Astyanax mexicanus: one gene and its partner. The protein of the gene in region 2 purifies or fractionates together with the protein of the main gene of each other region. This does not show direct contact. Links are inferred from orthologs where the notes say so. Each region holds a gene or a part of one and is shown on either strand. Other genes may lie near its edges.

Region 1 (7,937 bases), on a different chromosome or scaffold from region 2:
TAACAGGCTACGATTAGTGTTTTCCTCAGATCACACTGCGAGTGTGAGAAGTTAAACTGAACTCATTTATGCCCAGAAAGACATTGTCAGTCTGGCATATCAGTATTAGCATGGCAAACTCATCACAGGAAACACATGATATAAAGACAATTTGATGATGCGTTATAAGTCACTGACATAATTTCTATAGTGCTTCTTATTTAGACATTGCTGGAAACAATCAATTAAAATTAGACTCTCTGTAATATACATTTGATTATTGTACTTGAACGACTGAATCATATTCACAATATACTCAATATGTATAGTGTATATCAGTAACAAGATTTATCACAAAACATTAAAATTGTCATACTGTCTAAGCCTACTTATGCTACAATAAAAAAGGCACACTGCATTTTCATACAAAAAGTACAGATGTAAAATTTGCGTTGGAAAGTAAGTAAGTGAGAGATTAAATTATGTTAAAAAAAACTATATACACTATAACATGACAGCAACTACATGTGTATTTTATTCTACATTCGTTATAATAAATGTATAAAGCATTAACACTATAAATGACAAATTACCCCGGTCTCTATCTGCATTACTTATTTTGTAAATAAAGAAAGAAAGCATGAGTATTAGCTCACTTATCCTAAAAAAAAATATCTTAAATCCTGGAGCCAGTAAAACATGTTTTCTGATCATTTTTCTACTACTAAACTGTTCAGTAGCAGAAAAGTAATTATTAATTTCGTATTTGTACCTAAACCCTAGAATTTATCTCTCTCTTTTTACTTCTCCTCAAGTTGTTTCAGCAGATAACATCTTCTTTAACTTGTACTTTTAGGTTACAACACTTATGCTCATCTGTACTACTACTCACCTCTGATCAGAAGCAAAACGGATTCTAAAGGCTCGTTTAAAGTGTCGAGCATGATTTAACGCAGGTGCAGAGTAAAAACACACACGGTTGGGTCTCTGACAAGTCGCTTCTTTTTTTGAGGGAAAAAAGAGTAGTTACCGGTTTCCCGCAGCCCTGCCTGATCTGTTCAGTACTGTAGCTACGGTCCCAGTGTGATCATTGCTAAATAAGGTTTCTTTATAAATGGTGTTTTACTTCAGATGGGAGGCGCGTTGGTCCAAATCCACTCCCCAAAACTAACTACAACTACTCATGATTGGCGTGAAGTGCACAATTTACACGTGTCCTGTAGTGTCCTGTAGAGACCCATCAGCAGAGCAAATGTCTGCTTGAACACTAAAAAGTAATTTACATGTCAAAACAGATGCAAAGACGATAACTAAATAGGTTATAGGAGCCAGATGGTTCACATAGCTACGCTGTTCATATGGTTTTAAAATGTGTTAAAATGTTTCAAACCAACACAGCCTGTTTAGGAAACACAAAAATGTTTGAGTTAACTAAGTAAATAAATAGGTTTTGGCTAAATAAGCAAAATAAGTGTGTGTGTGTTTAAAAACGCAACCTAGTTAACTAGTTAAGCTAGCTGACGGCCCTTATAAGCCTGCGTGGCTCAGGTTAACATGATTAGCTAGCTAACACATGAAGTCTGGAGATAAAACTTGCTAATTTTAAAAGTGCAGTATAGGTCTGTTACACCCAGTTAACAATTCAAATGCTTAAATAAATGTTTGCCGTTCTATATAACTAGTTCTGACCTGATTTATAGAACAACATGTTAATAACAGTTAGGGTCAATAGTTGTGTCCTTATGTCTCATTATGTGTTTAACTTTATAATATTTAGTCATGTGTCCACAATAAGAAACAAACATGAACGAGCTGCTCAAGGAATGTATCAATAAAATACAATTTTGAAAATTGGTATCAGTAACTTACTCAGACATGGGTCTGGGCTCTTTTGTGTTAACGTTTAGCAAGACAACCAGCATTACCAAGCTCTGACTGACCAGCAAGATCAAGCTGGTTGTCCAGCATGAAGACAGAAATTGCACGTATTATTATACACTACGCTGATAAAAAAAAGCTGGTTACGCAGCTCACTCGAACCAAGCTTGGAAATAAAACAGAGTAACTTAAGTCTGTTTTAAGATAACTTACATGGTAGTATATAACTATTCCTCTCTCATGCTATGAATAAAAAAAACTAACTTCAGCCTTTAATGTGTGTAAAAAGTTATTTTTTTTAACTAACTTAATGTGGTTTAGCTAAACTAGCTAGAGTTAGCTCAACTAACTTACCATAAGGTTAACTAGTTACTTAGTAACACAAGTCTGGGTGTTTTAAAGCGGTCTGACAGATAGCTATGTGGTTAGCTAACCTGCTAACAGCCCTTATAAGCCTGTGTGGCTTAGCTTAATATGAGTAGCTAGCGAACCTATAAGCTGGATTTAGGTCTAATAAGCCAACTTCACGCTTCATAATTAATTAGCTATCTAACGCTAACTACATTTAGCAACCAATTTGTACAGAAGAGGACATAGCTGGCAAGCTTAGCAAACTTCATCCAACTCTGCGGACTTTCTGCTCAGTTTGACGGCTGTTTTCCAGCCCAAACGTCAACCGTCGCTCTGAGCTTTCAGAGCCGGGCGCGCCCCCGCGCACTACAAACACACACACAGGGCGCGGGCACGAAGTCAACTCACAGACCTCAGGATCACACGACCCAGCAACCGACTCCCCTCGCACTAAACACGCGCATACACGCACGCACGGCGTAAGACGGACTCACACCGAGCCAGACCGGTAACCAAAGAAGTACCGAACCAGCGCACATGGAGTAAACCTGCATTCCCGCTCCCGGAGCCTCCAGCAGAGCACTCCGGCCTGCCGCTCGGCTCCGGCTCAACTTGATTAGCGGAGCTGCCCTGCTTTATTAGAGCCGACCCGCCGCTGCAAACCTACCCCTTTCAGGCGCTTTATAAGCGCGGTTTTTTGCCCGCTTTTCGCGAGGCCTCGCTGCTCCAGCGCAGCTTTCAGATCCGCCACACGGAGCGAGTGAAGCGGTTTCCCGTCCAGCGTAACATCTTCGAGCTCCGCCATTTTGCCTCCCCCTCAGCTCTCCGATCGCTCGAACTTCGGCCTGACGCGCTGACGTCACGCGCCGGAGCTCTCCGGAAAAAGCCGAACAGCGCGGCGACCACAAAAACAACCACGGGCACCGGTGTCCTGACAAGCTGTGCTACCGTGTCAAACTGCCTCTTACCCTAGTGTGTGTTTAAAGGTGAAAACGCAAAAACACCATATTAGAACATGCTCCCGGCAGATGCGTAGTGTCAGGTAGGGTGTTAAGGATAGGCCAAATTACTGTATCAGATAAAGTAAGGGGCATATGAGGTGATTAGAAACCAGTTTTATATTTAATTCAGTATTCAATTTAATATTCATTCATTTTATAAAAAAAGCCATTTACACTTTTGTAACACTCAAGCAAATTTATATATATCTCAGGTTGCTTAATGAACACAAGAAAAAAAACAGTATTATCGTGAAAAACAGATAAAAACAAAAAAAATGTGAGTTGGCGCATGCGCAGTGTCGTTAAGAAGCTCCTATCGATGGGTAGCATATCATGTTATGATGCAGTTGAGAATATGCACACTTAGTACCAGAGATTTGTGTAGGTGGGTGGAGGAGATTAAACTAACATAAAAAGTTGTGTGTGTCTTAAAGCAGGTAGCACATATTAGAACATGCTCTCGGTAGAAGTGTAGTGTCAGGTAGAGTATTATTATTATTATTTTTTTTTGCCCGCCACCACCCAAAAAAAATGGACAAATAATTTTTTTGTTTTGTTTTGTATGTGGAGATAAATAGGGAGAAAATTGATAGAGAAACAAAGGGAATAAATATAAGTATTTGTGCAATCTGTGTGTATGTGTATATGGAACATTCAGGTACTAGAGGTCCTAGTCTAGATGTATGGGATGGTATAGGTATAACGCCAATGGTGATGTATGTGTCACAGACCCTTTAAAATACGTGGAAAGTTCCTTACATCACTTTATGTATGGGTTACTGCTGGACATAAAACTAAAGCTCCTTTAAAAATCTATCTTTTTCTTTTCTACAGCTCTGTTCCAAACATTTAACCATTCAAACGCTTAAATAACGTATATATTGATGTTGTGTCACTTGTTACATTATGATGTTAACCTTAAAACGTTTTTTTTTACAGTCACATGCCCACAACAAGAAACAAACATGACCAAGCGGTTCAATTAATTGATCAATGATTACATTTTGAAATGAGTCTGGCCTCATATGGGTTAAGATTTAGCTGGTCTACCAGTCGACTAAATCAAGCTGGTCAAGCAAGCAAGACAGCAAGCATTACCAAACTCTGATTAACCAACAAGATCAAGCTGGTTGTCCAGCATGAATAAAATCACACTTATATATTATACACTATATAAAAATTGCTTAACCAGCTCCCCTGACCCTCAAAGACCAGCCAAAACCAACTAAACTAGGTAACAACAAAGTATAATTAGAAACATAACAAAGTAAGCCAAATTAGTGTAAAGTTTTGTTCCTGTTCTTTTTTATTTAATATTATCTTATTAACTTATTAAGCAAATAAAAAATAAAACAAACATTAACATGCATAAAAGTATGTTAAAGTTATTTAAAGCAGCAGTCCTATATATTTTTTATTTTAAAGCAGTAGTGTTCCATAATGGGAGTGCAAAATATTATAATAATATATAAATATTATAATAAATGGCATCAATGTGCTTCTGCTACCATTCCTGTAAATGTATATATATTCTTTTAAAAACATGGTGTCTGGTAGGTCCCGGGATATTTTTAGCTATAACAAAATTAGTGCTGTCAATGGTGCTAAAACAAGAGCTGATGTAAACAACTTAAAAAAGATCACACCACAATACATATTTTAAAAGTACTTTTTTAGCATTACACATTCTCACCAAAACGTTATTCTGGACCTATATTATCATTGTAAGCTTACATTTTCTGCAACAAAATATTTTATTACATATTACATTTTTACACACTAAATTAGATTACATATTCTATCATGTATTTACCCATTAGTTTAAATGTGACCACTTTCACTTTTTTCACAGTTTTGAGGTCTGAATAAAAAGTGTGAAATGGCCAATATACCACAACGATTCAGCAACAGCACCCATTCACAATTACCGGACTGAGTTCCTGTTCCTTTGAATGATAATGAGCTATTGTTCACCACACCCACACTTTTGTCATTTCACTTCTTTCAGCTACACTTTTTTAAGCACTCTTTTACTTTACAGAGTTCACACCTTTCTCTCTATATCGTATACACTGCATGAATGTTCTCTCAGCAATTTGAAGATTACTGTGTTTAAAACCAATATACACTTGTGATGGAGATCATTTTCATTTTCTGCTGTCAGAATATAATATATTTATATAGTCACTGTGGTATGATGACAGTGTAGCATAAAATACCGCACAACCTAAAATAACAATGTTGAACTGCACTTTTGCTGTGTTGCTAATACATAAAACTTTATGGGTTAGGGAGCAATAATTATAATTAAACAGCTTGTAACAAAAGAAGCCAAGCAAGAGATTCAGACTTGATCCATACCATTAAGTGGGTTGGTTTATGTCACAGTGTGTAGGCAATCCAAACGTATAAAGGTAGAACTGTTAAGGAAGCCTAAACATATGATTTGTTGTAAGATATTTTCAGAAATCTGAAAAAATTAAAGGCTGTGTTCAAACTGCCAGCCTTAATCTGGTTTTATGTATATCTAGATTGTATCCAGATTGATAATTTGATAATCTGGACATCCAGAAACCACACGGAACTGAAAACTGCAATTGAGATTACAATCAGATTTTAAGTGATAAGTCTCTGGATGGTTACTGACAACAAGACAAACAACAAATCATCAAATCCAGAGTGATAGAAGGGGCCCAAAAAGAGCTAATACGAGTGTGGATTTATCTCAACAGATCTGATTTCACAAAAAAATCTGATTTGCCTGCAGTATTACCATAGCGTAAATTACTCAAGCTTCAAACATTACATTAAAATAAGTAATAGGATTTTCTTGTCCAACTGTAAACTGTTTAAAATGGTTTTTTTTTCTTCTGTTGAACATTTAATAACTAAACATGGACTGGAAAACTGAGACAAATTAAAGAAATAGAGAAGAGTAGCAGTAAATGAGTCCTTTAATGCAGTGGTCCATAACCCTGGTCCCGAAAGCCCAATCTCCTGCATATTCCCTGCTTTGACACATCCATTTCAATTAAGTGAGGCTTTGTTGATTAATTGATTGAAGGCCTTAGATGGGACAAATCATAGACTGTATATAAAGATGGACGCCGTGTCGCCGTTCCCATTCATTCAATGAAAATGAAGCCAAAATCTTCCGCCATTTTGGCGATTCTGAGACCAGAGTCTGCGCAGTAGAGACCAGAGGAGGGAGAAAGACTGTGGAGAGCTCCTACTCATTTAAATAACCCCGCCCCTGAGGGCTGCCTCGCGGTCACAGGCTGCAGAGCGGAGCTGACGGTCTGTTATTGGTCCCGCCCATAACCAGCCCTTTTACAATAACCACACCTGTTTTGAATAGAGCTGAATAACGTTTTAAAAAAAGAACTCTGTGAGAATATAAAAATTTGACAATATAAGCAGAGGTTACACTAGCTGCTGCATTTAAATAATGGAGGTAGAATTACAGCATATTAGAAAAAAACGTGATTAAAAGTTGTCTGTTTTGCCATTGAAACCTATGGGGGTGGGTGGGGTTACACAGCTTTCTGCAGCCGAACAGCAGGGGGCGCCCGACCTGTGGTGGCTTCACTTTTGAGAGACGATGCTCTGTCCAGCTATATACAGTCTATGGGACAAATGCACAGGACAGTGATCCTCAAGGGGCAGTATTGGGGGCCACTGCTTTAAAGAGTCAAACATGGTAAATATTTAAGCACAGCAGGGGGCGACAAAAAGAAACATTCATGACCACTGCATTTAAACAAAAATGTATTTTGGAAAAATGTTTTATGGTTTTATGACAAGTACCGGAGGATGCCTAGCTACAGATGAAGTGTCCACAAAAGTACCCATTACATAAAAGGTGTTTGAAGAAACCCATTTAAATTTAAAATAAACATCAAAAAATGAGTGTCAAAAATACATTCTGGTACAAAAAGAAAACAAATCTCCACATTTAAAAGCAATTATTAATGTTGCAAAAATGTTGCAGGAAAGCATCCCTGGTCACATGTGCATATATATATGTATTTGTAAAGAGCAACTTAAAGCCATGCATATGTTTGATTAAAAACAAACAAACAAACAAAATAATAAATATGATTACAATGCTTTCTCTAAGGCCAACTAATCTAAGCTTTACAATGGTTTCAGTTGTATTTGAGTTTTTTTCTTAGATTTAAAAACTAGTCTCTGAAAGAGCAGGTCACTCGGGAGAGAATGATACAGGTCATTATGATGAATTATAAATACAATAACCCAGAGATTAATAAGATACCAATTCCAGGCAGGATAAGAGACAACAGTATTCTAGGATGAGAATCTGTTCACACTGCAAGCCAGGATGTGCAGTAATACTGATATGGTCCACATGGTGGCGGTCTGAGACAGTGCACAAGGCTGCAGTTGTAGTTATGCACTTTGTGTGTTCAGGAATTAAGAGTTCAGCCTTGATATATGTTGTTAGCATAAGCAGACCAAACAACATGTCAGTGCATGAGCATACAGATAACAGATAATACTACAGGGAAGCAAGGGGAACAATACAGTCAGCTCTTTCATCACAATGAAGAAAAGAGCTAATTCTGACAACAAAGATAAGGTGGTCAAAAAAAAGACAAATGGAAGACAAAGTGAGGAATTAAGGTTTCCTGGTATTGTGCTTTAGTCTCATCTCTATATTAAGGATGTGGGACAGAGCTGTACAAAAAAACATGAGGGCTCTGCTCT
Region 2 (7,275 bases):
GAGGAGTAATGGCAATGTCAAGGTAGTCTCCTATCTGAAAGCGCTGAGACTGCAGGGTCATCGAGTCATCTGCACCCTTGCGCCCAGATACTGTGTTACCGATTTCTTTGACCCTATAAAAGCAAAGCAAAAATTCTAAAATTATTATATATCTACAGTCTACACGCCTCAGTCAGACAACACCTAGGACTGTAGATAAAAAAGAAAAATGTATTAAATAAAAGGATGAGTTCACATAAAACTGTGATCATACTAAAAATCTATCTACAGATGACAAAGAAATGGTTCAAAACTAGGTTTAACTGTTACAAATAAAATGGTGTTCAGATGCTTTGGGTTGAGTTGACTCATTGAGTAAATAATTCAAAACATAGTTTAAGCTCATGCGTTCATATCACACGCTGACCTCGTCCACACACCCTGGAGTTACTCACACACTGGATTATACTTAAGAACACGGGTTTGTGACTGAAAAATTGAGAAATAGTGCACTAAACGAGTCTCAGAAGAAACTTTGAAGGAGAGATTTTTATTGTTTTCCACAATTAACCACAGATCCTAAGCAGAGAGTGATGGTGCTGCAGTTTTTAAAGCAATAGGATTTATTTCTAGCTAAATATATGTTATATAACTTTTTTTTGGTACAAGCTCAGTTCTCAGTCTGTGGGAGGTGCCGGCAAGCATTGTAAGATAGATAAACACTTCAGAAATGAGTAGCGTTTTTTTAAATGTTTTAGATTAAAATGATAAAATGTCTATGTAAAATCACAATTACTCAACTTTAAAAAAATCGCATTAAAACTAATTTAAATTAACCAAATTAATCGTGAAAATCGCCCAGCAGTTCTGAAAATACATGCTATTTTTTTCTCTCCAGTGACTGTTCTGCAATATGTTATTGATCCAGGGATTAAGACTGCAGTGCTTCTGATTGAACCTTGTTTTCTCAGTTCAGATGAAGACCTGGAGCAATGCAGGGGCTGTTTGGAAGCACGCGTGTTACTCAGTAATATAAGTAATTTAGGGTCTATTTAGCTTGTTACACTACTTTCAGCATTCAGTCCACCATTCTATTGATCTAACTCGCTGAATGTTTCTCAAAAATTGGTTGTAAATGCTCCAAATAATCAAGTCACTGTACATGAAGTGTGCACACGGGCAACTGTAGCAAAGGCAGTTAAAACCACTAGATGCTTTAAACTGTGGATATTAAACTGTTCAAGGGTTCTGTTCAAGAATGTTGACTGTGGCAATAAGAATGAAAAATTGAAACAGAGACACAAAAGGCTGAAACGAGAAAATATATACTGCACAAAACAGAACTGTCCTACATTACCTGTAGCCTGGTCTTTTAGGGTCTGGATAAACAATAGCAAACCCGAAGTGTGTGCCTTTCTTTCGAGCCTCAGGATAAACCTCCTTTACTAGACTGGTCAGCTCTTTCAGGGTGGCGTCCATCCTGTTTTTAAACACACACAAGACACAAGAGGTGTTAAAGCCAGGAGAAGATTTGAGATCTCCTCTTATGACTATTATACTTGTTGCTAAAGGTTATTAAAGTCAGAAAGAGAGAGGGAGGAAATGAGCTGAAGGAAATTGTCCTTAAAATGTAGTGGACTTTCATTCGTTAATATTTCTTTGTGTGAAAATAAATACTTTGATAATTTTAAATTAGAACTATTTTTCTATATATAGTATTTAGGTCATATAACAACAATAACAATAGCTTGGGCATCACTTTAAATGGTGCTGTTTGTCTACAAATAAAAAACTGAAGTTGTTATGTGCAGTATATTATTTGAAGAATATTGAAAAAAAAAAGAAAAATGGTAATTTCTTTGATTATACTAAATTTAAAAGCCTTTGAATATAATCAAGAGGAAGATGGATGAGCACAAGCCATCAAAATGTATTTTTTTCACCAGGAGTGGCATAAAGTTATCCAAAAGCAGTGTGTAAGACTGGTGGGGGATAACATGCCAAAATGCATGAAAGCTGTGATTAAAAACCCAGTGTTATTCTACCAAATATTGACTTCTCAACTCTTAAAACTTTAGGAATATGAACTTTTTTTCTTTGAATTAAGTCTAAATGACAATCTTTACAATAATTACTATATGGCCATAATTTATAGAATAAAACAACAACAAAGTTAATTTTAATCAAACATATACCTATAAATTGCAAAACCAGAGAAACTGATTCAGAAACTGAAGTTATCTCTTCATTTTTCTAGAGCTGTATATAGATAATTAACTAGGTTATATCGCCCGGCCCTAGTTACAGACAGTCAAAACCGGACATAAGAACGTTCACTCACCAGGTGTAAATCTGAAGCTCGCTTGATGGTACATTTCCTCGGGCAAACTCGTCCATTCTGTGATGCCTCCCATTATTTGTGGTGAAAACTCTAAGCAGCAGCGGACACGTCTGTACACACACACACACACACACACACACACACACACACACACACACACACACACAAAAACACACACACACACAAAAACACACACAAAAACACACACAAAAACACACACAAAAACACACACACACAGTCAATCCATGCTAGCTAGCTAGTTAGTTAGTTAGCTAGCTAGCTAGCTAGCAAACTGGATTTATCCAGCAAGTTGAATTGGCCGTGCTTACAGAGGAACTATTAAACATCAAAATAGACGTTTCAGAGCTAATATCCATCAGATGGTTAACTAATTTACTCCAAAAAAGTTTAAATATTAATTTATTAGTTAGCTTTAGCAGATTTTAGCTGGCTGATTCTGTATGAACCAAACTGCAGCGGGATGCTAGCGTTAGCTCCACACTACCCCCTCACTAAACAAACTAATGTTCAGCGCTAACAAACCTTTTCTCTATCGACCGGCTTCTCCGGCTCCTTCTTAATTTCCTCCTGGGTCACCCTCGACTCCACAGCCATCGTTGGAACCCTCTTTCTCTGACCAGAAGCTCAGATTTAAGCTCCTCTAAACGCAGCGCTCTCGCTAATTCAGGTTCGCTAGCTTTAGCTGCCTCCCCGCCGGGCGCTTGAGGATGACCCGCTGTAGCGACCGAGCGCCTCGACCAATCACAGCGCTGGTGTTCTGTCGAGTTGTGCTACCCATTGATATGTGCTACTTAGCGGCTCTGCGCGTGCGCAAAACTCTAATTTTTACTGTTTTCATGTTTTTTTCCAAGAGTTGGGTAACTCAATTCCAGAAAGTAAAAATCCATCCCAGGGTCCCATGTTTTTAATCACCTATATTGCCTCATCTTTATCCTGATACAGCGATTCAGGCTATTGAAATGTCATATCGACACTTCTCATGCATGCAGCATGTATTTTTACAGTTAAACATACAGTATGGTTGCACGGTTTGACAGGGTAGCACAACTCGACACAACACCAGAACCGGGGCCCCACGGATGACGCGCTCCGAACCCGTCAGTGCGTTTGTATGGCAGTCCCCCCGCCGCCATTTTGGGAGTCAGAATATCAATCAGTGGTGTGTGTGTGTGTGTGTGTGTGTGTGTGTGTGAGTGAGAAAAAGACTGGAGCCCCGCGCAGCTCCTGGCGCTCTGTAACATGGTTCACACGTGCGTGGTGTCCGGCTGTCGGAACAGGAGGACCCCCGGCACCGCGCTGTCCTTCTACAGGTTCCCCAGAGACCCCGAGAGGAAGCAGCGCTGGATCGCCGCGGTGAATCGTGAAGGCTGGATGCCAAACGAGGGCAGCAGACTCTGCAGCACCCACTTCATTTCAGGTAGAGGTTCAGCAGCTACAGCAGCACAGTTACCTTTACTGAAACAACAGCATGGCCACACCAGGCTGGTAAAGATGGTTGACCAGCATAGGATATGGTTGAGTTTGAGTTTAATAATTTGGCTGGCCTGGAAGCATAGATAACCAATAAAACCAAGCTCAGCCAAGCTGATACAAGTCAACAACCTTGGTGAATTTGGTCATACTGTTCCACCAGTTTAGTCATGCTGGTCAGTCAACTTGGTCAAGCTTGGTTATATAGGCTATCCAGCTTGGTCAGAATGATCATGCTTGCAGACCAGCCAAAGTATTAAACTCAAACATAAACTCAAACCCTATGCAGGTCAAAAACTAAGCTGGTCAACCTGCTGGAGCATTCTGAACTGGCCTTGCTGTTTTTTTTTCAGCAGAGATAACAGCAAGACCAGTATAATGAGCCAGGACCAAGCCAGGAGACCACCAAGACCAAGCTGGTTGGTCAGCATAAGCAACAAAACTAAACTGGTAGACCACCAAGCCCAGCATTACCCGCAAGACCAAGGTTGTTGACCAGCAAGACCAGTGTAGTTTTTTTGGACGCTGGTAGACCACCAAGCCCAGCATTACAAGCAAGACCAAGCTGGTAGACCAACATGACCATCAAGACCAAGGTGGTAGACCAACATGACCATCAAGACCAAGATGGTAGACAACCAAGCCCAGCATAACCAGCAAGACCAAGCTGATAGACCAACATGACCATCAAGACCAAGGTGGTTGACCAGCATAACGGGTCAGACCAAGGTGGTAGACCAACACAGCCATCAAGACCAAGGTGGTTGACCAGCATAACGGGTCAGACCAAGGTGGCAGACCAACAAGACCATAAAGACCAAGGTGGTTGGCCAGCATAAGCAACAAAACTGGTTGGCCAGTGAAACCAAGCTAGTAGACCACCAAGCCTAGCATTACTAGCAACACCAAGGTGGTTGACCAGCATAACCAGCAAGACCAAGCTGGTAGACAACCAAGCCCAGCATTACCAGCAAGACAGAGGTGGTTGACCAGTATGAGCAACAAAACCATGCAGGTTCTCCAGCATATTCTGCGAGACCAAGTTGGTTAACCAGCATGACCAACAAGGCCACACTAATTGACCAGCATAGCCAAGCATGACCAAAATCAAACAAGACACACTATGCAGGCAAGAGCTGGTTAACCATTTAGCTTACCAGTCTAGAGTATATTTTCACCTGTCTGACCAGCTTTTCAACCACCTTAACTATCAAAGACCAGCTTAGACCGTGTGAAACCAGCTACCACCATTTCTGATATTAAGCTGATTTTTCTAAAGCAAGGATATTACATTTATACCTCATCTTTAAATGTGACAGCTTATGTTGAAACAACATATTTATTTAGTATGGTTTTATTGTCTAATATTTACACTCTTTGTCCATATCACAGGTAGACAAGTAAAGAACCCACGGTCTCCAGACTATGTTCCCTCTGTTTTCACTTCAGCACCTCTGTCCCCGAATATAAAAGAAGCCAACGCCTTTGAACCCTATGACAAACAAGAGGCGCAAGTGGAGGCTGCTAATGCCTTGCTTTTCCTGCAAGGGCAGGGGCGTCTGAAAGAGGGCCATAGCCATAACCACTGTCAGGGGGATCCAGAGAGTGCAGCCTCTTCACTAAACAGCTATGATGAAGAGGAGGAGGACGACGACGATGATGACGACGATGAGAGGGAAGAAGAAAGTGTATTAGAAAGCGAGGACCAGATCAAACAAGAAATACCACTGAGAAACATTTGCACACAGTCAGTCAACTATGAGGCCAGTCTCAACGCCCTGAGAAAAGAGAACATTGAACTGAGGGGGTCCTTAGCGAAGATGTCCCTCACGGAAACCTCGTTCCGGAACGATCCAGAGAAAGTTCAGTTCTACACAGGATTGCCAAACTATTTTGTGTTTGAGACTGTAATGTGGCTGCTTGTACCACATATGAAGGGAGACAAAAATGCCAAGCTTTCAACATTCCAGCAGTTACTTCTCACGCTAATGAGACTTAGGCTTGATCTTAGGAATCAGGATTTAGCTTACCGTTTTGGAGTTAAAGTTGCAACAGTAACCAGAACTGTTCATCGAGTCATCAACATAATGTTTACCACTCTGGTACCCACAGCTGTGTATTGGCCGTCAAGGTTGGAGCTTCGGAAAAACCTTCCTGCTGCTGTGAAGTGCTCACATCCAGACTGTGCCGTGATAATTGACTGCTTTACCGTGTCCCTCGAAAAAGCAGTCAGTGTAGATGTAAACCCTCATTGTGCAGCATCAGCAGCGGACATGGTCCCTCAGTCTCCTCACAAGGCATTTGTCAGTGAGCTCAAATATGTGATTGGTGTTGCCCCTCAGGGTGTTGTCATGTTTGTTTCCAGGGGGTCACCAGGGAATGTCAGCGATAAGACTTTAGTACAGAGTAGTGGTCTCCTATGTAAACTCCTGCCTGGGGATGTAGTATTGGCTGAGAGAGATTTTGACATTAGAGACTTGGTCAGTGCTTGTAGGGCTGAGCTTAAAATCACTAGTAGTGATCATCATGGTGAGATCTTTACAGGTGACCAACATTTAAGAGAACAGGCCTCTCTGGTCACTGTAGAAAGGTTGAATGTGTATAATCATGTGGGGAGGGTCATACAAATGGTCAAGAAAAGATATTCTATGCTCACTGGTCCAGTGGAGAGTCCTTTTACAGTCCTAGACCGTAGTTCAGGCGTGACCACTTTTGACAAGATAGTACAGGTTGCCTGTGCCTTAAACAACCTGTGTATATCTGCTGTCCCACTAGAGTAGAGTAAGGTAAATTTGTGTACACATTTTGCATTCATACCGTTTCACTCCATATTTCTCATTCCTTTAATTGATTCCATTAAGGCTTTATTCCATTTAAATTATGATGCCAGAATTTTCTGCTTTCAGGTAGACAGTTTAAACTGGAACAGGTCTCCACAGGTCGGGTTCCAAAAGGAGATGGACCATCTTAGATGGTCGAGCAAGCTTCACACTGAGCACTCTCTCTCTCCACGTAAAGATGTATTAAATGCTAAAATGCTTTTGGCAAACTGGGTCCAAATTTCCTACTGAGTAGTTTGGAAGAGTCTCACTAATTACAGAATTAAGAATCCAAGATGGCTGTACCATACACAAACAGTAGTACTTTTTTTAGCACTTCTTTTTTATTTGTCTCATTAAGTTAGTTGTGCAGTACTGTCTAACTTCCATCTGTAAACAGACTGTATCAATGGTTAGCAGCTGGTATCACTAAAAAGCTAAAACCATAACCTGGTAAACTCAGGTAAATAACTGTCAAACCAGTTGTGGTAAACTTTTTAGCTTGCCGTCAGAAATGTTTTGAAATATTATACACTTTCCTCATTTACCATGTTTAACTGGAACGCTGTCAACTCTGGTGTGACATCTCCAATATCTGTGGGGAAAGGGATGCAGAATAAGTATCTCACCATCATAAGCATGTTG

What was found. Proteins that work in one complex are often made in the same cells at the same time.
Region 1: the proteins of sap18 (region 2) and acin1b fractionate together in Homo sapiens (co-fractionation; 7 studies listed by BioGRID and IntAct, with this or other methods). This does not show direct contact. The link is inferred for Astyanax mexicanus from reciprocal best matches to the Homo sapiens genes SAP18 and ACIN1.

What each region holds. Positions count from the first base shown.
Region 1 is NC_064415.1:17,425,935-17,433,871, reverse strand, and holds the start of acin1b (apoptotic chromatin condensation inducer 1b), read right to left. Parts: upstream 3,048-7,937; 5' UTR 3,014-3,047; coding exon 2,876-3,013; intron 1,019-2,875; exon of another isoform or gene 872-1,018; intron 132-871; exon of another isoform or gene 21-131; intron 1-20.
Region 2 is NC_064418.1:25,416,803-25,424,077, reverse strand, and holds the start of sap18 (histone deacetylase complex subunit SAP18), read right to left. Parts: upstream 3,091-7,275; 5' UTR 2,936-3,090; coding exon 2,864-2,935; intron 2,431-2,863; coding exon 2,321-2,430; intron 1,460-2,320; coding exon 1,337-1,459; intron 114-1,336; coding exon 1-113. Other genes in the region: uncharacterized protein LOC103025519, read left to right, coding at 3,581-3,758, 5,204-6,591. UniProt on the Homo sapiens protein: Component of the SIN3-repressing complex. Enhances the ability of SIN3-HDAC1-mediated transcriptional repression. When tethered to the promoter, it can direct the formation of a repressive complex to core histone proteins.